Elephas maximus indicus: one gene and its partners. The protein of the gene in region 3 interacts with the protein of the main gene of each other region in a pairwise test. Links are inferred from orthologs where the notes say so. Each region holds a gene or a part of one and is shown on either strand. Other genes may lie near its edges.

What was found.
Region 1: the proteins of TFIP11 (region 3) and ZMAT2 interact in binary tests that used the Homo sapiens proteins (3 or more experiments, as listed by UniProt). The two-hybrid records come from large-scale screens. The link is inferred for Elephas maximus indicus from reciprocal best matches to the Homo sapiens genes TFIP11 and ZMAT2.
Region 2: the proteins of TFIP11 (region 3) and RHNO1 interact in binary tests that used the Homo sapiens proteins (3 or more experiments, as listed by UniProt). The two-hybrid records come from large-scale screens. The link is inferred for Elephas maximus indicus from reciprocal best matches to the Homo sapiens genes TFIP11 and RHNO1.

The regions. Positions count from the first base shown.
Region 1 is NC_064820.1:153,927,656-153,934,716, forward strand, and holds the start of ZMAT2 (zinc finger matrin-type protein 2), read left to right. Parts: upstream 1-4,039; 5' UTR 4,040-4,130; coding exon 4,131-4,148; intron 4,149-4,480; coding exon 4,481-4,574; intron 4,575-5,650; coding exon 5,651-5,774; intron 5,775-7,061. Other genes in the region: histidine--tRNA ligase, mitochondrial, read left to right, coding at 39-132, 446-573, 666-908, 1,069-1,185, 1,406-1,552, 1,974-2,033. UniProt on the Homo sapiens protein: Involved in pre-mRNA splicing as a component of the spliceosome.
Region 2 is NC_064822.1:59,069,239-59,076,133, forward strand, and holds the start of RHNO1 (RAD9, HUS1, RAD1-interacting nuclear orphan protein 1), read left to right. Parts: upstream 1-3,873; 5' UTR 3,874-3,968; intron 3,969-6,895. Other genes in the region: FOXM1 (forkhead box protein M1), read right to left, coding at 258-409, 967-1,468. UniProt on the Homo sapiens protein: Involved in microhomology-mediated end-joining (MMEJ) DNA repair by promoting recruitment of polymerase theta (POLQ) to DNA damage sites during mitosis.
Region 3 is NC_064840.1:30,360,128-30,367,248, forward strand, and holds the start of TFIP11 (tuftelin-interacting protein 11), read left to right. Parts: upstream 1-4,117; 5' UTR 4,118-4,195; intron 4,196-6,090; 5' UTR 6,091-6,099; coding exon 6,100-6,308; intron 6,309-7,121. UniProt on the Homo sapiens protein: Involved in pre-mRNA splicing, specifically in spliceosome disassembly during late-stage splicing events. Intron turnover seems to proceed through reactions in two lariat-intron associated complexes termed Intron Large (IL) and Intron Small (IS).

The DNA of each region.
Region 1 (7,061 bases), on a different chromosome or scaffold from region 3:
GGGTCTTGAGACCGAGCTAATGTTTGGGTATTACGCAGATGTCTTGGAAAGATGTGAGACACGAGATGGTGACAAAGAAGAGCCTGGCTCCTGAGGTGGCTGATAGAATTGGGGATTACGTCCAACGTCATGGTAAGAACCAGGGTTTTCAGAGCTATGTGATAGAACCAGGGTAAGGGTGACATGTGTACAACTTCTGCCTCTGAAACTACTCCTTTCCAGAGATGGTGCAGAGCTCCAGAGCCTGGCCTGAATTTAATTCCCCTTTTACTGTAGCCACTTTGTGTTTTCAGATGGCAAAGGTAGAGGCAGAGGAGGCACCTGGTCATATGATCTTTTTTTAAGAAAATGAGTGGGTCTGGCTGGAGCACATTTAGGATAAATTTGGATGAAACACATTTAGATGAAAATAATAGGCCTTATTTTTCACCACATGTCTCCCCAGGTGGCGTGTCCCTGGTAGAGCAACTGTTCCAGGATTCCAGACTGTCCCAGAACAAGCAGGTCCTGGAGGGCCTGAGGGACCTGAAGCTGCTGTTTGAATACCTGACTCTTTTTGGAATTGCTGAGAAGGTAAGATGAGTTGAGAGTGGGCTTCCTGTTGAGCCCTGGGCTCCCAGGGTTCTAAGTCTTGTCTGAGATTGATGATAGTTTTGTCCCCACAGATCTCTTTTGACTTAAGCCTGGCCCGGGGCCTGGACTACTATACAGGAGTGATCTATGAAGCAGTTTTTCTACAGACCCCAAATCAGGCTGGAGAGGAGTCCTTGAGCATGGGCAGTGTGGCTGCTGGTGGGCGCTATGATGGGCTGGTGGGCATGTTTGACCCCAAGGGCCACAGGGTGCCATGTGTGGGGCTCAGCATTGGAGTGGAGCGGATCTTCTCTATTGTGGAGCAGAGAATGAAGGTAGGTCCTAGGTATGGGTGAATGGGGCCAAAGGCCTAAAAACCCCTCACGTTTCTGGAGGTGAAGTTGGATCATTTTCCTTACTACTCTTTATATCTTTTGGAGTTATTGATGCAAAGAAGTTCTTACTAGTTTTGCTATTTTTTCTTTCTTTTATTAGGTTTTTGGTGAAAAGGTACGGACCACAGAGACTCAAGTATTTGTGGCCACACCACAGAAGAATTTTCTCCAAGAACGATTGAAGCTAATTGCAGAGCTCTGGGATGCTGGGATCAAGGTATGGTGGAGCTGATATCCAGACCACCTAGGAATATGTGGAAGTTAATCCCAGTGTAATGTTTAGGCTGAAACTCCAGACCTTTTTAGTCTTCATTAGAGTGGCTTCTTAGGGTAGGAGGGCCAGCCACTTATTTCTGGCTCCCTTGGAAATACTTACTCCTATGATTTGTGTGCTGTGGTGACTTCTAAGCCTCCTACTCTGTCTTTACCTTTTTCAGGCTGAGCTACTGTACAAGAACAACCCTAAACTACTAACCCAGCTGCACTACTGTGAGAACATGGGCATTCCACTGGTGGTCATTATTGGTGAGCAAGAAATGAAGGAAGGGATCATCAAGCTCCGTTCAGTGGCCAGCAAGGAGGAGGTGAGTGGGGGCAGGCAGAGATAGATGGAATCAATGTTTCTACCTTTCCTGGATTCTTTAAGAAATACATATTTTCTGGCTGGAGAAATATCCCCAGGGTTAATAGGGATAGAGATGAATGAAGATCTACCCCAAATAACTATTGCAGCCAATGAGTATTGTCCAGGTAGGCAGAAGGACAGATGCAACCTGAATGCATACTTTGAGACTAATCAACAAAAGATATAGATGAGGTATTTGCATTTGAATCCCTTTACTCTTGAGGACATATGTTCTCCATGTCAACTTGAAGCACACGTTACTTCCTGTGGGTTGCTTAATTAGTGGGAGCAGATGCAGAGTAATATGAATCTAGAAAAGCAGTGGCTAAGGAGCTGGTATCACTTTTGAGCTTGTCACATGAGGGTTCTTTATGTTTCAGGTGACCATTAAACGGGAACATCTTGTGGCTGAAATTCAGAAGCGACTATCTGATTCTTGATCCTTGCCTGACTGTCATCTTCTGCTCTTCGTAGAAAAAGTTTCATCTAGGACTGAGTTCCCGATGGATATCACAACTGCTGTCCAGGATGGGTGACAAGCGCCTTCTGCCTTTGCTATCCTTCCTTGTTACAAAATTAATAGAAAGCCCTAAGGACTCCTGTGTCCGGTGGCTTCAAGTCATTAGTGTGAGCAGTTATTCTGCGTAGGGGCAGATGACTGATACTGTAAAGAGACATGTTCTAACTGCAGAGGCAGATGGCAGGTTTGAAGTGCCAACTGAATGCTGCCAACAGGTGCTGATATGGTTGCTGTGAGCCGAGCTCTCGGAGAGTCACCTCAGGCTGAGAGGACTGAGCAGTTGAGATCAGAACCATGATACTTAACCTTCCACTGCAGCTTCTGAAGCTGAGGCTGGTGAATTTGTCTGCAGCCAGCCCTTGGCCTGTCCAGGGAGTTTTTGGAGACAGCAAGAAGAGGCAGTGGTTGCTTTCTGCTAATGTCTGAAGACAGAGATGCTACACCACTGGATGCAAGACAGTAGCCAGATTGATCTGGTATCTAGCCCATCCATTGTTAACAACAGGGTGGGGCTGTCTGTTTAAGATCTTGAATGTCGAACTTAATAGGTGACTGACAAGATGAAAATCTGATCTTTTGAGATTTTGGAGATCATTTCCTGTGCCAGAGTCACCGCTCTGACTATTCCATGCCCCTTCATAGAACACTTTGCTGTCAAGTTGTCTGGGTAGGACAGAGTAGAGCTGTCCCACAGGATTTCCAAGAAGCGGCTGATGGATTTGAACTGCTGACCTTTTGGTTAGCAGCCAAGCTCTTAACCACTGCGCCACCAGGACTGCCCTTCCATAGGAGTAGCTGTTTTATAAGTGGTTGGATATGTTAAATAAAATATTAAATGTAGTAGTTTGAATAATTTGTTATCACGGGAATAGGCCATAGAAAATACTTGAGTATACACTGGAAAACTGGAACCTCCTTGGGATGATGTTTATTCGTTCAGTGAAGTGAGCAGCCACACTCTGTCGTATCGCTGAAAATCAACATACAGTGAGCCGTGTGCCAGAGTGCTTCACCAAAGAGTGTTGCTGATGAGTGACTTTCCCAAGTCCAATCATGTTCATTAAATTGTACTGTATAGGTTGAATGACTATAATGTTCCTAGCCGAAGGAAAAAATGAGTTAACCAAGGGGTGATAACATTGCTTCAGGAAAAAGAGATAAGGTGCAAAAAGTGCTTCCCATACATTTTTGACCTTTGCAAACACTTCAGCATAGCTTAGGGCCATAGCTCTAGTTTATGCAGGTGAATGGGGCATCTGTTGTTAGGTGGCCAGTGGGTTCTGACTCAACAGCAATCCCATGCACAACAAAAGGAAACACTGCCCCCTCGTGCGCCATCCTCACTATCCTTGCTATGTTTGAGCCCAATGTTGCAGCCACTGTGTCAATCCATCTTGTTGAGGGTCTTCCTCTTTTTCACTGACCCTTTACCAAGCATGATGTCCTCCAGGGACTGATCCCTCCTGATAATATGTCCAAAATACATGAGATGAATTCACGCCAGCCTGACTTCTAAGGACTGCTCTGGCTATACTTTTTCCAAGACAGACTTGTTTGTTTTTCTGGCAGTCCATAGTATATTCAATATTCTTTACCAACACCACCATTCTAATGGGGCATTTAGAGTCTCTGTTCTTTATCCTTAAAGATGGTTTAGAAACTCATGACAATGTGTGCAAAGTTGATTAGGTTAGATTAGAGGAACCTGTTTCTGAGCCCCAAGTTCCCTCGTTTGTAAGCAGAGGAGCCCCACTAAATCTCTTCGTAGCTCTTGCGAAAAACCACGCCAAAAAAAATGTTAGCAGGTGCCCTTACTTCCGTGTAGCTTCATGCTGCCCTTGCGCCTGCGCCGTCTCCTTGGAGCAGAGGCGGGGTCAACAAGCCTATTTTAGAAGCCCTCCAGTTCTTAGCAGCCTTAGAAAACGACACTCTAAGTTTATTGGAGAGCAAGTTTGCTTTACGCCCGAAGGCCGCTTTTTACGACATTTTCCAGCTTCCCATTCACTTCGCAGTGAAGATGGCGTCGGGCAGCGGGGTAAGTGCTCTGTGTGAGGGGGAGGTTTTGGGGCCTTCTCTGGGCGGAATAGAGACGGACTGCTGCACGGGACTGGCTATCCGACACCTCCTCGCGATCGCAGGGTCTGGGGTGCGTGAGTTCTTCCGTAAGGCCTGGGCGCAGGATCAGCGGCATCGCAGAGGTCTTGGGTTAGGGTCCCGAGGCCACCTCAGCCTCCTTTTACGGGTTCGGAGTGGCTTCTCTCTCGGAGGGTCCTGGGGCCACCTTGGCAACGAGGATCCGGTACTTTCAGTTTCTCTAGGGTTCCAGGCATGGTTAGCGACGGATCTTGAGTGCTTTTTTACCCACAGACGAAAAACTTGGACTTTCGCCGAAAGTGGGACAAAGATGAATATGAGAAGCTCGCCGAGAAGAGGCTCACGGAAGAGAGAGAAAAGAAGGATGGTGAGTGCTTGCCCAAGCAGGAGCCAGTGGTATCATAGTAGCGATGAAATCGGAGTGAGTGAGGAGTTAAAATGCGTTGCTTCTCCTCTTCTACTTTGTGTGACCTTTTGCGGAGCATAGTCCCCCTGATCCACGGTTTCTTTTGTATAAAGTGAGGGCGATGAGGTGGACTGAAGTGGTTTTTGAGATCCTTTCCAGCCCTGGTTGGTTCATTTGGTGCTTTCCTGATGTACAGAGCTTGGAATTCTTAGTAATGTCAGAGAAGAAGCTAAGTGGTGTGTATTGCTGCTGTGCATTACTGCTATCGAGGACTCCTTCTTTCCCTTGGAATTACTTCAAGAAGAGGAGAACATTTCTGACCCAGTCAAGACCCTCTGAGAACAGCGGAAATACTCATCAGGGAACCATGTGATTGTTTCAGCTAGTGCTTGGTAGTGCTGTTTTTCTTTGCCTTGTACAATGTCGAGGAGGTGGAGTTTCTCTCCTACATAAAGATCCCACTTGACAAAAAGGAATGTCTTATTTTCTTCTCTATTTCCAAATTTGTACATTTTTCTTCCATTGTATTCTCACATCATCTTGCTCCACAATCTCTTTCATTTTTTATGTAACATGTATGACGGTGCTTGGCCCATAACTGGTACTTCCTAAATGTTGGGTCCATTCCCCGCCCACTCTCCCTTTTATTTTGAAGCAGCTTGCAAAGGTTTCTTTCTGTGTTATGTTTAGAGTATCTGCCTGAGAGCATTACTGAGTGTCCTTGCTATTCTTTCAAAAGGTTGCTCTTTGTGCAAACTCCTCCCTTCAACTCAGTTAATCAATGAATAGAAAACACATTGCTTTTAGACTTACTGGCTTTAAACTGGAGAAAAGCTATAAGAAGTTGGGGATTGCTTATCACTTATTTCTCTGTTTAGGCTCTCCTTAGCTGCTGCTTCAAGGTGTCATTGTGTCCCTTGCTTCAGGAATCAAGAAATGAGTGTAGAGTTCTGAATTTTTGGTTTCATACATTTCTTTTTCTTTTCTGGTTGTGGAACTGTGATATCGAAGGGGCTCCCCTCCCCATTGTGTTCCAGGAAAACCAGTGCAGCCCGTCAAGCGGGAGCTTCTGCGGCACAGGGACTACAAGGTGGACCTGGAATCTAAGCTTGGAAAGACAATTGTCATTACCAAGACCACCCCGCAATCTGAGATGGGAGGGTGAGTTGCTGGTCGTCTTTTTCAGCAGCCAACAGTGGATCTAATAAACTATATTGGTTTTAGGAAGTGCTAGAACGGCCCCTGGCCTGCAGATAACAACCTGTTTGCCTGTAATTCCATTCTTAGATTTGTTTTTCTTTTAGTCTTCCAAGTTAACACGATCACGTCTCTAGGAGGGGTCACTCCATAGGCTTTGACATATTAGCACAGTAAATACTTCTTAATATCTTAAAAGAGATTATTTGTTCTCCTGCCAGAGAAAGAAATGAAGGAAACTACTGAAGAGATTTTTAGAGAGAAATTAGCTAGAGCTAGAATGGAGCCTAGGAGCTCTAGTGGTGAAGTGGTTAAGCACTTCACTGCTAACAGAAAGGTCAGCAGTTAGAACCCACCAGCTGTTTTGTGGGAGAAAGTTGTGGCAGCCTGCTACCATAAAGATTTATGGCCTTGGAAACCCTATGGGGCAGTTCTGCTTTGTCCTACTGGGTCTCTCTGAGTCAGAATTGACTGGGCAGCAGTGGGTAGCATGGAGCCTAGGAGCTGCTGATGGTGAAGAAGGGGGTTGGTATTCCAGACAGGCCACAAAGGCTGTATTCCTTATGGATTGCCTGGTTGTGCACCTTCCTCCCAGACCAAGACTATAACTTATAAGAAGGATCCCACAAGAGCTCTTCACCTTTCTCCCCATCCCTACTACTGCATCCAGTTTTTTAAGTTTTCTAGCAGGAAGGCAACACAGATAGTAATTAATGACGTGTTTAGTAAACTCCCTGTTGTCATTCCTCTCTCTATTAGTTACCTATTGATATGTAACAAATTGCCCCAAAAGGTAGCAGTTTAAACAGCATACAGCTCCCAAATTTCTATGGGTAAGTAATCTGGAAGTGGTTTAGGTAGGTGGTTTTGGCTTAATCTGTCTCAAAGCTGCAGTCAAAAGCGTTGGCTGGGACTACAGTCGTCTGAGGCTTAAATGGGATCGGAGGACCGGCTTCTAAGCTGTGTCGTATGACTGCTGGTTGGAGGCCTCAGTTCTTCACTTTATTAGCTTCTCCATAGGGCTGCTTACAACAAGGCAGCTGACTTTACCAGAGCACATGATCCAGGAGGGAGGGACAGATGGATGGACTAAGACAGAAGTGATGGTCTTTTATCACCTCGTCTTAAAAAGTGACACACCATCACTTTTTCCACTTCCTGTTGGTCTCAAGACCAACCCCGGTGCAATATGGGAGAGGAATACTCAAGTTTGTGGATACCAGGAGGCGGGGGCTGTCTTGGAGGCTGGCT
Region 2 (6,895 bases), on a different chromosome or scaffold from region 3:
CATAGTGACCCTATAGAACGGAGTAGAACTGCCCCACAGAGTTTCCAAAGAGCGCCTGGTGGATTTCAACTGCTGACCCTTTGATTAGCAGCCGTAGCTCTTAACTACTACGCCACCAGGGCTTCCAGAATAGCACTAAGTGGAGTATAAATACTAGAGCTTGGACATCCTGCTCCAGCAGGCCACTTGATCTAGTTCCCTTTTAGAAATTCCCCACAATGGCTAACTCCCCTACTGAGTGCCCTAGAGCGGTGCACCTTAACTTGACTCTGTTCCAGGTGATGATTCTCTTTTTCCTCCATTTCTTGCTTGATGCCGCAGGAGCCCAGTCCATCAGAACTCATCTTTCCAAGCCACTGGATATTGGTCAAGCTGTTGTCGAGAGTGCAGCCTGCTGCCTCACCGCCAGCTAGACAGAAAGCAATCCAAGACTCCACTTAGCTGCCTGACCAGACGCCTGGCAGGCCCATCAAAATTTGTGGTTAGGGACCACTACTCCAAGACCTCTACCCTTAGGGACAGGGAACACATGCTAAATCTAATGGGCCCTAAGTTACTCCACCTTATTAGGGATTTCAGGAGAAATTCAAGTTGCAATTCAATCAAGCTGCGTTGCACCTTAAAGATCAGGCAAGGCAACCTTACGGAAGAGTTATTTGAGTATTTGCACAAGGAAAGTAACTTTTTTTCCTTCTGCTTTAGTTTTCTACTTCCTTATAGGATCAATGGAAAGGAGAAATAGAAATAATAAGTTCTTTTCCAATATAAAGAAGGCAATAGAAATGCTAAATTATAATCACAATGCTTTCAATGGTGCCCAGAGGATATGGTCAAAGCTACTGGGTGAGGAAACTTGGTTCAGGCTGCACACCTGTCTGTTATAAGCATCAATACGACTGACTGCAGACCTTGCCACCAGAGAAGAAAGGCTGGGCTCCTCACCCCTTTGCCTTGCAGATCACATACCACAGCTCTCCCATCGCTGCCCCGGAAGGGCTCCAGGAGGTCTAGGAAGATTCACATCCCTAGCTGTAGGCTTTGGTCCCAGGGTTTCGGTTATCACTTCTGTCCTCTTTGAATCACAGCTGGCTTGGGTTACAGGCTGGGGTCCTGGAGGGTGAGTGGGGGCTCCCCCACAGCTGATGAGGATGAACTTGTTGGGCCCACTGCTGCCACTTTCTTTTCCTTTGGCGGTCAGTGCTGTGATGATGCTCTGGATATTGGCATTGTTGGGGATGGCCACCACTTGGGTGTTAGGCATGGTAGGGTGGTTAATAATCTTGATTCCAGCTGGAAACTTGCAAGAGCTAGACTCTGCCACCTCCTTGGAGGCCTGTGCTTGGCCAGGCTCCTGTTGGGCAGGGGACTGCTTAGGTTGCTCCTCTGATGTTTCACCTGGGGCATTTTGAACAGGAAGGGGCAGCCTCCGTCTTTTGAGAATCAGTGGCCGACGGGGGCTGGTTTTCATTATGAATCTGTGCTTTCACTCTCCATTGAGAATCACAAGCATGGACCCTGGAAAGTATAAGGAGGAGCAGGATATCAGAGATTTGTTAGGCTGAGAAGGAGCTTCTCTTAGAGAGGCATTCCTATTTTTATGGCCAGAAGTATGAGCCTAAGGGCCCAGGTAATGCTCCCTGACCTTTGTAGAGGCTTACCTCCAATACTAAGATGAAATCCACTGACTAAAGAAAGGTAAAACTGAAGCAAACAGAAGCAATTCAAAGGGGGAAAGTGGAACTGGATTGGATTTGGGTCAAGACAGCCAAAGACTTCCTGCTGGAAGCTTAAGAATGCTTGGCTACAGAAACAAGTGAGATAGCCACAAAATGTAGAAATTATAATACACATTACTTGCTATGACTGGAGGGACAGGGATGGGAGATGCTGGAATAGGAAGGCATATGGTGATATATAGTCCCAACAAAACTCTAATGCCATAATCCATTCTAGGATAGAGCCTTTATATTTTTATGTAATTCTACTCTGTAAAAAATAGGATCAGTGCCCACAGAATCAGGGGAGAGAGGCATATTGCACTATTGCCGTAGCACTGGAGAAATCATCTCCTAGTTCACAAGGGCTCAGATAAAAAGCTTGCAGGCAACCCTTGCTCTATTTAAGGGCCATGGTGAAGTTGTGCAGATTGTGCACTGCACAACTCTAGCGGGTGCCATTCATTTTACAGGCTACATTATCATTATCCTTGCATTAATAAGGGAACCCTGTGGCGTAGTGGTTAAGAGCTACAGATGCTAACCAAAAGGTCAGCAGTTTGAATTCACCAGGTGCTCCTTGGAAACTCTATGGGGCAGGGCAGTTCCACTCTGCTCTATAGGGTTGCTATGAGTTGGAAAAGACTCGATGGTAATGGGTTTGGTTTTTGGTTGCATTAATAAAAAGAGTATTTTTCTTTCAGTTTACAAAATACTTACGCAGTGACAGTATTAGTACTTGCATGTGCTTATCTTTATTTTAGATTTCTAAGCATGTTACTGTATTAATTTCTCTTCCAGAACAAAGAGGATAAACCTTATCTCCTGATTCCTAGAATGGACTATCACCAATATGCTAAGGGAGCTTTGTAATGCTGAGGAGGGTAGTTTTTCTCTTGGGGAGAAAAATTGTGCTTTGTTAATTTTTAATAGCTACATGAAATACTCTGCCAGTTTATGCAAAATTGTGTAATTCTATTTAGAGGTACTTTGAGAGACAGGGAAATTGGCTGTCTCTTTTAGGACATCTGCTATCTCCCGAAAAATGATTGACACATTTGTATGACATTTGCCATCTGCTTTTTTGGTGCCATCTGCTTAGAATTCACAGGCCTTTCCCACTTTGCCTCTTCCCCTTCCTATATATCTAGGTTTCCTTTACCTTCAAATCTCAGTTTTACTTCCACCTCATATCTCTCCTGGCCTCCTCCCCTCCTTCCTCCCATCAGCCAGTAGCTATTATCTTCCCCTTCCTCCAAAATATCTTCTTCCTGGTCTAAGTCTTAATTTTCTCTTCTACTCCCTGACAAGCCTCTTCCTAGTATTGCCAACAACACTTTCTAGCCTGACAAGCCTCTTCCTAGTATTGCCAACAACACTTTCTAGCCCGGTGACTTCCAGAGTAACCCCATCCTGACCAGGGAAACCTTGCTAGATTCTCAACAACCAGGAGAAGGGCCCTGTAAGAGTAGGGTGGAGGCAGTGTTGCCTAGTGGTGAGAGCGCCTGAGAGCAGGGGAGTGTGTGTGGGTTGATCTTTCACTTACTGGAGAATAAGCTCAGTCTTCAGTTCAGCCACGATTCACACTTGGTAGGCCACCTCAGCCCTCCTGATGCAGGGTACAGAGGTCACACTTCCAGTAAAAGCCAAGTGGTGCTTAGAGAAATAAGTGAGAAGGCCGAGACCAGAGGTTGGATGCAGAAAAAATTTGCACCCTTACTCAGACCTCCTTCCCCGTGTGGTCCCAAACCTCCACTCCTGTCCCGCACCCTATTGCTAGACTCCCTGACTTCCTCGCCCGGAGGACTTACGGAAGCGGTGCCAGAGACCTTGCTCCCTGCCTCTGCCCAGGCCCGGCCTCAGCCTCCATTCCTCTGCCCAGCTCACCTCCCGACTGCAGCCTCCGCCGCTGCTGGGGTGAGGCTCCTAGGGCGGACTCCGGGCTCCTCCAATCTGGGGGCCGAGCCAGGGTCCCGGATAGGGACTCGCGCCAGGCCGGCCAGGTCCCCGACGGTGCGGGAGGGGTGGGGAATCCCGGGGGATCCCGGGAGGGGAGGGGGTCCCGGGCCAGGGGCCGGGGGTGGGGTCCGGCACCGGAGCTTTCAGTTTGTTCCCCTGTTTGAAATTGGCGCCGGCGGAGCGTTGCGGTCACGTGACGGGGCGTCGCCAATCGGCGCCGGCCCTTGTCTCCGAGTTCCGGGCTCGAAGCCGTGGAGACCTGAGAGGAGACGCGGCCCTGACCCTGCCGGGCGGGTAAGAGAAGCCCGGGACCGGCCCGAAGGGAGAAGGCTCCTGTGGGCTCAGAGGGGGCGGTGGGAGCGGGAAGGAGCGAGAGGGGGGCCCTGCGGTTGGGGTGGGGGGAGCGGAGAGACTGTGAGGGGACGCGGGAAGATGGTGGTGACTGGGACACGGCCCCTCTCGGCCTGCTTCTGCCGCTTTCCCACCCTCCACGCTACCCCTCTCAGGATTTCCATACCCTCTTTAAAGGTCTGTTTTAACTGATATCCTAATGGGGGGAAATTGTAGTCCATTCACCTCCGATTACCGATCCTCTGGTACCCCCAACTAGACTGAGAGTTCTTCAAGGGTAGCACATAACCTTGTCCAAGTGTCTTGCATCTTAAAACACACAAATAAATTCTCCCTCAACTCTAAATCTTCAACTACTGACCTGTCTCCTGTTTGTCTCCACTGCCAGCCAAGCTTTTTGATATAATGGACTAAAGTGCTTTATTCACTTACTCAACAAATGTTTGCTGAGCACCTACTATGTGCCAGGCAGTGTGATAGGCCCTGGGAATACAATGGTAGACAGTTTTCTGTCTCATGGGCTTACCAGACTAACTGGGGAAAGGGGCTGGCATCACAAACATCATCAAATGTAGAATTATAGCTGTGAAGTGGTAGAGGTAAATGATACTTTGAGTATCTGTAATGAGGTCTTGAGTTATGTAGGTCAAGAAAGGGTTTTCTGATGAATTGAAGCTTGATGTGAGATCTGATGCCTTTGTGCAAAAAAGGGAGGGAAGCCCTCTAAGTAGAGGGAGAGAATGAAGTGTGCAAAGGCTGTGAGTGTGAAGGACACATGGTGAGTATGAAGTCGGAAAAATATCTGTAATCTAAGGAGTTCGTAGGATTGCTACGAGTTGGAATTGACTCAGTGGCAATGGGTTTGTTTGTTTGTTTAAGAAGTTCGAGCTAACAGACCTGAGTGAAGCGTGGTGTGAGATGAAGCTGGAGCAAGAGAAAGCAGAGCCTAGCCATACTGAGTTGTGTCCTTATCCAAAAACTCAAGAAAGCCAATCAAGTTTTAAGCATCAGTGAGTCATGGTCAAACTTCCATTTTTTAAATTGCACATTTTTAAGTGGATTAGGATAGACCAGTTAGGCTGTCGTGATACTCCATGGGAGAACTGGTTGGAGCTTGAAGAAGGGGGGAAGGGGTGAAGACAGGGGGAGAAAGAGACGATTATTGAAGACAAATTTAAGAGGTAAAATTGACAGGACTTGGTGCTGGGTTGGATGAAGGAGGCGGGGAGAGGGAAGTGGCAGGTTTCTGGCTGCATAACTGGATGAAGCATGTACTATTTGCTGAGACAGGGCCCTGGAGGTGGGAGGTGATGATGAGTTCAGTTTTAAACATGTTGAGTTTCAGGTACATTTGAGGCACCTAGTTGCTGTCAAGTAGACAATGGGTATATGGGTCCTGAGCTTAGAGAATTCTAAACTGAATGTGTACAGTAGGCAGAAATTAAAATATGAGCGAGTGAGATTGCACAAGAAAAGTGTATGAGTGAGAAGGGTGCCAAAGCATAGGTGGAGGGAAAGGCCTTAGACTGCAGAAGGGACTGACAGCACCTCTACAGCTGAGAGAAAGAGGATGGATGCAGCTATGCATAGGTTTGTGTGGTTGATTTCTAGAAAATGAGAGTATTTCCTTTGGTGGCTTCTGTATTCTTTGTGAAGTAGGACGTAAGGTCATCTGTTGAGAGAAGAGGAGTTCAGAAGTCTTAGCAAGTGGAAAAAACTTAAGATAATCTTTGTGGAGAGTTGATCAGGGAATCATAGTAGGATTGCTGGGCAAGGCAGTAGGCCCATTTGATGGTGAATTTCAGCAAGTCATTAATTTCAAACCTTTAACCTTGGCCATTGCTACCATTATCTCTGTCTCCATTGGACTCCTGCAGTAGCCTAACTGGACTCCCTGCTTCCTTTCTCCACCCCTCTCTTCCCAACCAGGCTTTCCTCGCAAAGTACCTGGAGTTATCTTTTGACACTCTGAATCAGCTTATGTCACTTCCTGTCCAGGGCCTTTCAGTGACTTCCTATCACACTAAGAATAAAATCTAATCCTAGCCTACAAAGCCCTGTGTCACATGAACTGGTTCCTGCCTTTCTACTACCTCATCTTTTAACTACTCTTGAGTTCAGTGACCCTGACCTTACTGTTTCTTGAACAGGTCAGAAATAGTCCCACTTCAGGGTCTTTGCATTTACTATTCTCTCAGAGTTCAGCATTCTTCATTCATATCTTTCCATTGCTTGCTTGTTCTTTTTTCATTCAGGACTTTGTTCAAATGCTACCTCTTCAGATAGGCCTTCCCTGACAACCTGATCTAAAATAGCACTCAGTCAGCTCAACCCCTTATCCTGTTTGATTTTTCTCCTACTGCTTATCACTTTCCACTGAAAAAATCAAACAGAATGAAGAGTTGAGTTAACTGATTGCTCTCAGATTTAAAGCACCATGTGGGCAGGGATTTTATACTGTTCTCTGGTATATATTTCCAGTACCTGGAACAGTGCCTGGCATATAGTAGGCATTCGTAAGTGTTTGTTGAATGAATGAATGAACAAATGGATGTGTTCATTATTTGTGCTCTCCCTGAAATGTTAGTTCCTTGAGGGTAGGTGGGGACTTTGTCCTTTTTTTCTCCTTCTTCCCCTGATTCTCTACTGCCTAGTGATATAAATCAGATCATGTTAATTTTCTGACTCATGAATGTATAGTGGAAACAATCTGCTCTGTTGTGTGACTTTTTATTACTTTCTGGTCCTGTTGGCCTTATCTGTCTCCAGCCTCCCACCTCTACTGACAGAGCTCAGGTTCATATCCTCATCACTTCTCTCCTGGATGACACAGTAACCTCCTAACTGATCCCCTTATCTCCAGAGTACTC
Region 3 (7,121 bases):
CAACCAAGGTGCCCATCAATGGATGAATGGGTAAGTAAATTATGGTATATTCACACAGTGGAATACTACGCATCCATAAAGAACAGTGACGAATCTGTGAAACATTTCATAACATGGAGGAACCTGGAAGGCATTATGCTGAGTGAAATTAGTCTGCAAAAGGACAAATATTGTATAAGACCACTATTATAAGAACTTGAGAAATAGTTTAAACTGAGAAGGAAACATTTCTTTTGTGGTTATGAGAGGAGGGAGAATGGGAGGGTGAGAGGGTAGGAGAGGGGTATTCACTAATTAGTTGGTAGATAAGAACTACTTTAGGTGAAGGGAAAGACAGCACACAATACTGGGGAGGTCAGCACAATTGGACTAAACCAAAAGCAAAGAAGTTTCCTGAATAAACTGAATGCTTCGAAGGCCAGTGTAGCAGGGGTTTGGGGACCATGATTTCAGGGGACATCTAAGTCAACTGGCATAATAAAATATATTAAGAAAACATTCTGCATCCCACTTTGAAATGTGGTGTCTGGGGTCTTAAACGCTAGCAAGCAGCCATCTAAGATGCATCAATTGGTCTCAACCCACCTGGAGCAAAGGAGAATGAAGAACACCAAGGACACAAGGTAATTAGGAGCCCAGGAGACAGAAAGGGCCACATGAACCAGAGACTACATCACCCTGAGACCAGAAGAACTAGATGGTGCCCGGCTACAACTGATGACTGCCCTGACAGGGAGCACAACAGAGAACCCCTGAGGGAGCAGGAGAGCAGTGGGACGCAGACCCCAAATTGTCATAAAAAGACCAGACTTAATGGTCTCTCTGAGACTGGAAGGACCCTGGTGGTCATGGCCCCCTGACCTTCTGTTGCCCAGGACAGGAACCATTCCCGAAGCCAACTCTTCAGACCTGAATTGGACTGGACAACGGGTTGGAGAGGGATGCTGGTGAGGAATGAGCTTCTTGGATCAGGTGGACTCTTGAGACTATGTTGGCATCTCCTGCCTGGAGGGGAGATGAGAGGGTAGAGGGGGTTAGAAGCTGGCGAAATGGACATGAAAAGAGAGTGGAGGGAGAGAGCGGGCTGTCTCATTAGGGGGAGAGTAATTGGGAGTATGTAGCAAGGTGTATATAAGTTTTTGTGTGAGAGACTGACTTGATTTGTAAACTTTCACTTAAAGCACAATAAAAATTATAAAAACAAACAGACAAACCCATTGCTGTTGATTCCAACTCATGGTGAATCCACGTGTTACTGAAGAACTGCTCCATAGGGTTTTTTGGCTGTAATCCTCATGGAGGAGGCCGGCTGGTGCAATGATTAAGAGCGTGGCTGCTAACCAAAAGGTTAGCAGTTCAAATCCACCAGCTGCTCCACAAGAGAAAGATGTGGCAGTCCACTTCCATAAAGATTACGGCCTTGGAAATCTAATGGAGCAGTTCTACTGTGTCCTATAGGGTCGCTATGAGTTGAAATCGACTTGATGGCAATGGGTTGAATCTTTATGGAAACAGATAGCCAGGCCTTCCTTCCACTGTGTGGCTGGGTGGGTTTCAACCTCCAACCTTTAGATTAGTAGTCAAGCATGAACCGTTTGCACCACCCAGGGACCTAACTAATAACACAGGTCATCAGTAAATATTTGTTAATGAGTAACTACATGAATTAGGGAATGAATGATGAAGGCTGTGGTTCCTCAGCTTGCCTGTGGCTTTTGAGGCTGCTTGTTTTACAAAGAATGCCTCAGGCCTGTGACACCTTGTGTCCCAGCTTTTTATATGAGGATGGAGTTGTTACAAAGTCTTAAAAAATAAGTAGGGTAGAAAACATCTGTAAGGAACATATAAAGGGAAATCAAATGGGCTAATTAGCAGCTGATCTGGATTTTTAGTTCTACCAGACTCAGGACTGAATTTATGCTTTGGAACAAAATTCAAAATAAGAATAAACTATGTGAAAATGTATAATGTCACTGTCCTAGAAAAAGTTCTTGTGATAGACTTTAAATATATCAGCTTTGAAATGCCACTTATGGTTTGTTTCTATGGTACCAACCTATTTAAAGTTGGAACTGAGCAAGGATTTTCCCCCACCTCCCAGTCCTTTTGGAGGCAATATGGAAGCAGTGCCATATGGCAGAGGTTGTGCAAGGGGTGGTTAGGAGTGTGGCCTCTGGGGTGGTAATAGGAAGTATCTCTGAAATTTGAAGAATTGCAGAGATGATGTATGCAGAGAGCTTGGCAGTGTGACCCTGAACACACTGGAATCACTCTATAAGTATTAGCTCAACCGAGTGGACCCACATGGTGTGTGGCCGTATGCAGGGTATGCCAGGAAGAACACTGGCCTGGAAGTCTGAACTTCTGGGTTCCAGGCCTGGTTCTGTCTTTAAACTCACTGTGTGGCCCTTGGCATGTCCCCTGTACCAGGACCTCTAAGTTTCTTAGTGCTGCTATAACACAAATACCAGAAGTGGGTAGCTTTGAAGAATGGAAATTTATCTTCTCACAATTTGGGAGGCTAAAAGAGTGCCCCCACTCCCCCTGCCGTATCTCTGTGTCTAATTTGTTCTTTTTATAAATCAGAAGTAATTAGATACAGAACCCACCCCACTCGGGTATGAGCTAAGTAACAAAGAAAACCATATTTCCAAATAGGATTATTTCCACAGGTATAGGGGTTAGGATTCCAACACATATTTGGGGGAAGGGCGTAATTTAATTCAAAACAGGCTCCATGGCCTCATCTGTGAAAAGGAGAGGGATGGACCAATTACTGTCAGAGGACCCTGTCAAGCTGCTGCCAAGGAACCTTGTTGCTTGGCAACCCCCTCTGGGAAGGCCACGTGTCTGAGTACCTCGCTGGTAATCTAGGCACCGGCCTGGATGTCACTAAGTCCCAGAGTAATGCTTTTTCTGGGCAGTGACAGGAGACCAGGACTGGTATCACTCAGGGGCCTGAATCCAGATTTCTGGTCACCTTTTCTCATTTTCCCGAGGTTGGTCACTTTAGCCCAGACACCCTGAAAAAACCATGTTATCTTTGAGGGTTAAAGGGGTGTGAGATTGTGACTTCTAAATGCAAATAGCCACAGCTATTTACTAAGCTCTTGCTATGCCAGGGAGTCCCTGGGTGGTGCAAATGGTTAAAGCTTGGCTGCTATCCAAAAGGTCAGAGATTGAAGTCCACCTAGAGGCACCTCGGAAGAATGACCTGACGATCTACTTCCAAAAAATCAGCCATTGCAAACCCTATGGAGCACAGTTCTACTCCGACACACTTGAGGTTGGCATGCGCCAGAATCCACTGGTAAGCAACTGTCTTTTCACTATACCAGGAACTGTGCTAAGAGCTTTACATGCAATAATTAGTCCATTTTTGTCCTGAGAATAATCATTTTAGATCAGCACCTTCATTATCCCCATTTTACAGATGGTGGAATTGAGGTGAAGAGAGGTGAAGCAACTTGTCCCACGTCCCACCTCTAGGAAGCAGCATTTAGCAGCACCCCACACCTAGCTAGACCCATTGTACATTTATATTAGATATGTGAATGAATAAATTATTTATCAACCTGTTTGAAAGGAAAAGAACGGAACGATTTCCCGGAGAGAACACTTGGGAACTCTAAAGTTGGCTCATTTATTCCTGTACGCCCTCAAACTCCTTTATAAGGCAACGATTCTGCGCCCACGATGGTGCTTATACTGAAGACCTAAAGATACAGGAGACACAGTTGCGGCCTTCATTACTCCCATTTGAGGGCCGTGTACCGGGCTCCCTACTGTCTCACACTAATGCTCACAACTATCCTATGGGCTAGTCCTATATCCCCATTTTACAGATTCAGAATCTGGGGCTGCTTAGGCTGAGGTGGCTCGGCGATGTCCACATGGGTCATCGTAGGTGGGCGTCGCCGTACGAGGCAGGCACAACAAGGAGCTGGACATGACGGCAAAGCGGCCGCTCGGGGACCCACAAATCCCGGTTACCTTTCTAGTATCTCTGCCCCACCGCTTTAGAACCCCAAGACGTTCTGGCTTTCCACTGTTGCCATGGGAGCCCGCAAGCCGTGAGTGCCGCAGGCGTCATTTCCGGCGCGCCTGACTAAGTGCTTCCGGGTCCCGGCCGCCGGAGTGGCGCGTTGATGGTGTAGAACAGACGCCCGTGTTTGGTTCGCGGGACATCGGAGAGGTGAGCTACGTCGGGGAGTGGAAACGGGCTGAGAAAGAGCTGCGCCACGGGGAGTGGGGCGAGGGAAAGGCAGTCTTGGCCTCACCGGTGTAGGATCCCATCTCGCAGACGGCGTTGCCGAGGCCCGTAGAGGGACCGGGCCGCTCGATGTTACGCGGGAGTTGAGGCCAGGGCCAGGGCCGAGTCAAGAACCTGGGCCACCTCCGCGTAGCGTGGACAGCAGGGTGGAGAGAAGGCCAGGCTCTAGTTCGAGCTCTGTTAGCCGTGGAACCTAGGGCGTGTTGTTTCGCTCCCCCGTCTCATTTTTGTTATTTGAAGCGTGGAAACTTTAGTAGTATCTGCCTCGTATAAGTGTCCTGGTGCTTACGTTATGTAGCCGACCTGAAGTGCCCAGCAGGTACTTAATACCTACTGAGGGCGCTACAACTCGTAGCTACTCTGATTAGTACCGTGGTTGTGCCCCAGAAGCCAACGGTATAATTTACTCCCATGTATCTGGGACTCCCAGTCTCTTCCAAGAACATTTACCGCCTATGCACTCCTGGATGAGGTTGGGACCAGCTGCACCCGCAGCAGTGAGTAGAAGAAGAAGGGGGGAACTTTCTGACAGAGCTGAGCAGAGGTTGACACACTGCTTGTGGAAGTAGTCAGCAACTGGTGGAGAAGAATCACAGTCCCTGTCACTTATCGAATGTATTGCTATGCAGTGCACCATGCTTGACACTTCGTGTGCATTTAACACCCACACACTGAGTATTCGTTGGAGTTGAGATTTGAACCCTGGCTGTGATTTTAGCACCTGATTGATTTCATAATCACCTTCCTAGGTTCATTCTCTAATCCAATAATAGTAGCAATGATAAACTTAACCAGGGTGATGACTACAGCAGCAGCTATTCTTTGAGCATTTATTATGAGTTGAGTGGTTTTGGTGTCCCTGGGTGGTGCATATAGTTAGGCACTTGGCTGCTAACCATAAGGTTGGTGGTTCAAGTCCACCCAGAGGTGCCTCAGAAGAAAGGCCTGGCAATCAACTTTGAAAAATCAGCCCTTGAAAACCCCTATGGAGCATAATTCTACTCTGATACACATGGGGTTGTCATGAGTTGGAGTCATGTACGACAACTGACTTGGTTTTTTGTTTTAAGAGATTTTTTTAAGCTCCATCTCATTGAATACCACCTTATATTCTCTAAGGTTGGTACAGTAGCTAATCCCAGTTTCAGAAAGAGACAACCAAGTCCCATCACCCGGCCACCAAGAGGTAGAGTCTCTATTCCAATCCACATATGCCTGACTGTTAAGGTAGTGTTCTTAATTACGGCTGCCTTCCAACTCATCAGAAAAGGTTCATTTTTGGGAAAGAAAATAGAGAGAGATAACTCTAAGAGTCTGTCTCTTCAAGTAATTTATTTCAGAAAGTACATCCCCCACCCCACCAATAAAGAAAAAGTCACTCTCCTGAGCCCATGCCAAGAGTCCAGATACAACTATTTCAATAATTGAAAATAGTAATAAAATCGGGGGTTTGGGAAGATATTCACCCAATTTCTGAGGCAATAATATATAGAAGAACGTATTTACTTAGTTGTTTTTGTGTGGCTTTTGTATATATGTGGGTGAAGTCTTACAGCATTGACTAGGACAGAGAAATGCATATTTTTTAAGAATCACAGATGGTTGACATTAATCTTTTGTTTCACCTGTTGTAGTACTGATTGTTTCCTGAAATATGTCTTTAACTGTCCACTTTATTGAACAGTAACAATGATTTTAACAGACTTTGAGTTTCATAGAAGTTCTGAAGGCAGCAAGGAGCAGGGACTCACAGGAAGCCTTCCATTGCTGCCTCCAGGACTTTTCACAGACTCTGCCCTTTTTGTCCCTTCCTTTAGTGACGGGCCATGTCGCTGTCCCACTTGTACCGGGACGGGGAAGGCCACATGGATGAGGACGAGGATGAGCATGAGAACTTTGAGATCACCGACTGGGATCTCCAGAATGAGTTCAACCCCAACCGGCAGCGCCACTGGCAGACCAAGGAAGAGGCCACCTACGGGGTGTGGGCAGAGCGAGATTCAGATGAGGAGCGACCCAGCTTTGGAGGCAAACGGTACTGGCCTGCGTGGGGCTGGCTCTTCCTGCTTTAGGGAAGGAGAGATGGATGGAGGGCGCTGGGTAGACCTTGTGGCCTCTTGGAGTCCTTTAGGTATGTGACATCAGCTAGGGAGGTCCATTTTCCTCTTCAGGCGAGAATGCCGCTCTTGCTGATTGAGTCATTCAGTCAGTGTTTATAGAGCAGTTACTGTATGTCAGGCCCGGGCTACAGATCCATCTAGTGGATGGAGACAGGCATTAATCAACCCTTCACACAAACACTGGAAGTCTGTTACTGTGATTTCAGACCTGAAGGAGAGCAGGGTGTTTGACCTGTTCAGGGAGGTCAGGGAAGGTCATTCTGGAGAAGTGACCCTTGAGCTGATATGGAACTAGAAGGTAACTGGAGTAGAAGGAGAGGCAGGAGGATGCAAAGGCCTTAGATTGGAGGCAGCAGGGTATCCACAAGGAAAAGAAAAGGTTTTGCAGGCTGGAGTGGAGAGAGGGAGGGGGAGCATATGGGAGGGGAGGCCGGAGGTCAAGTCCTTAGGGGCCTGGAGGTGGTGGTAGAGAGAGTGAAGTGTGGTGCAGTCTGAAGAAGGCTCTTTTGCTGATGTGCAGAATAGGCATGGAGCTACAGTGGAAGTGGGAGCTCCGGAAGGAGGCCATGGCAGTGCTCTGCAGAGGTGGGGGAGGCCCAGGCTAGGATGGGGGCAGGGAGATGGAGGAGTCAGGCTCAAAGTCTCCCCTCCCTTCCTGAACACAGCGTGAGACCATGCGTGAGGGACCACAGCTCACTTGACAGGAGCGTGGAACTGATTTGGATTCA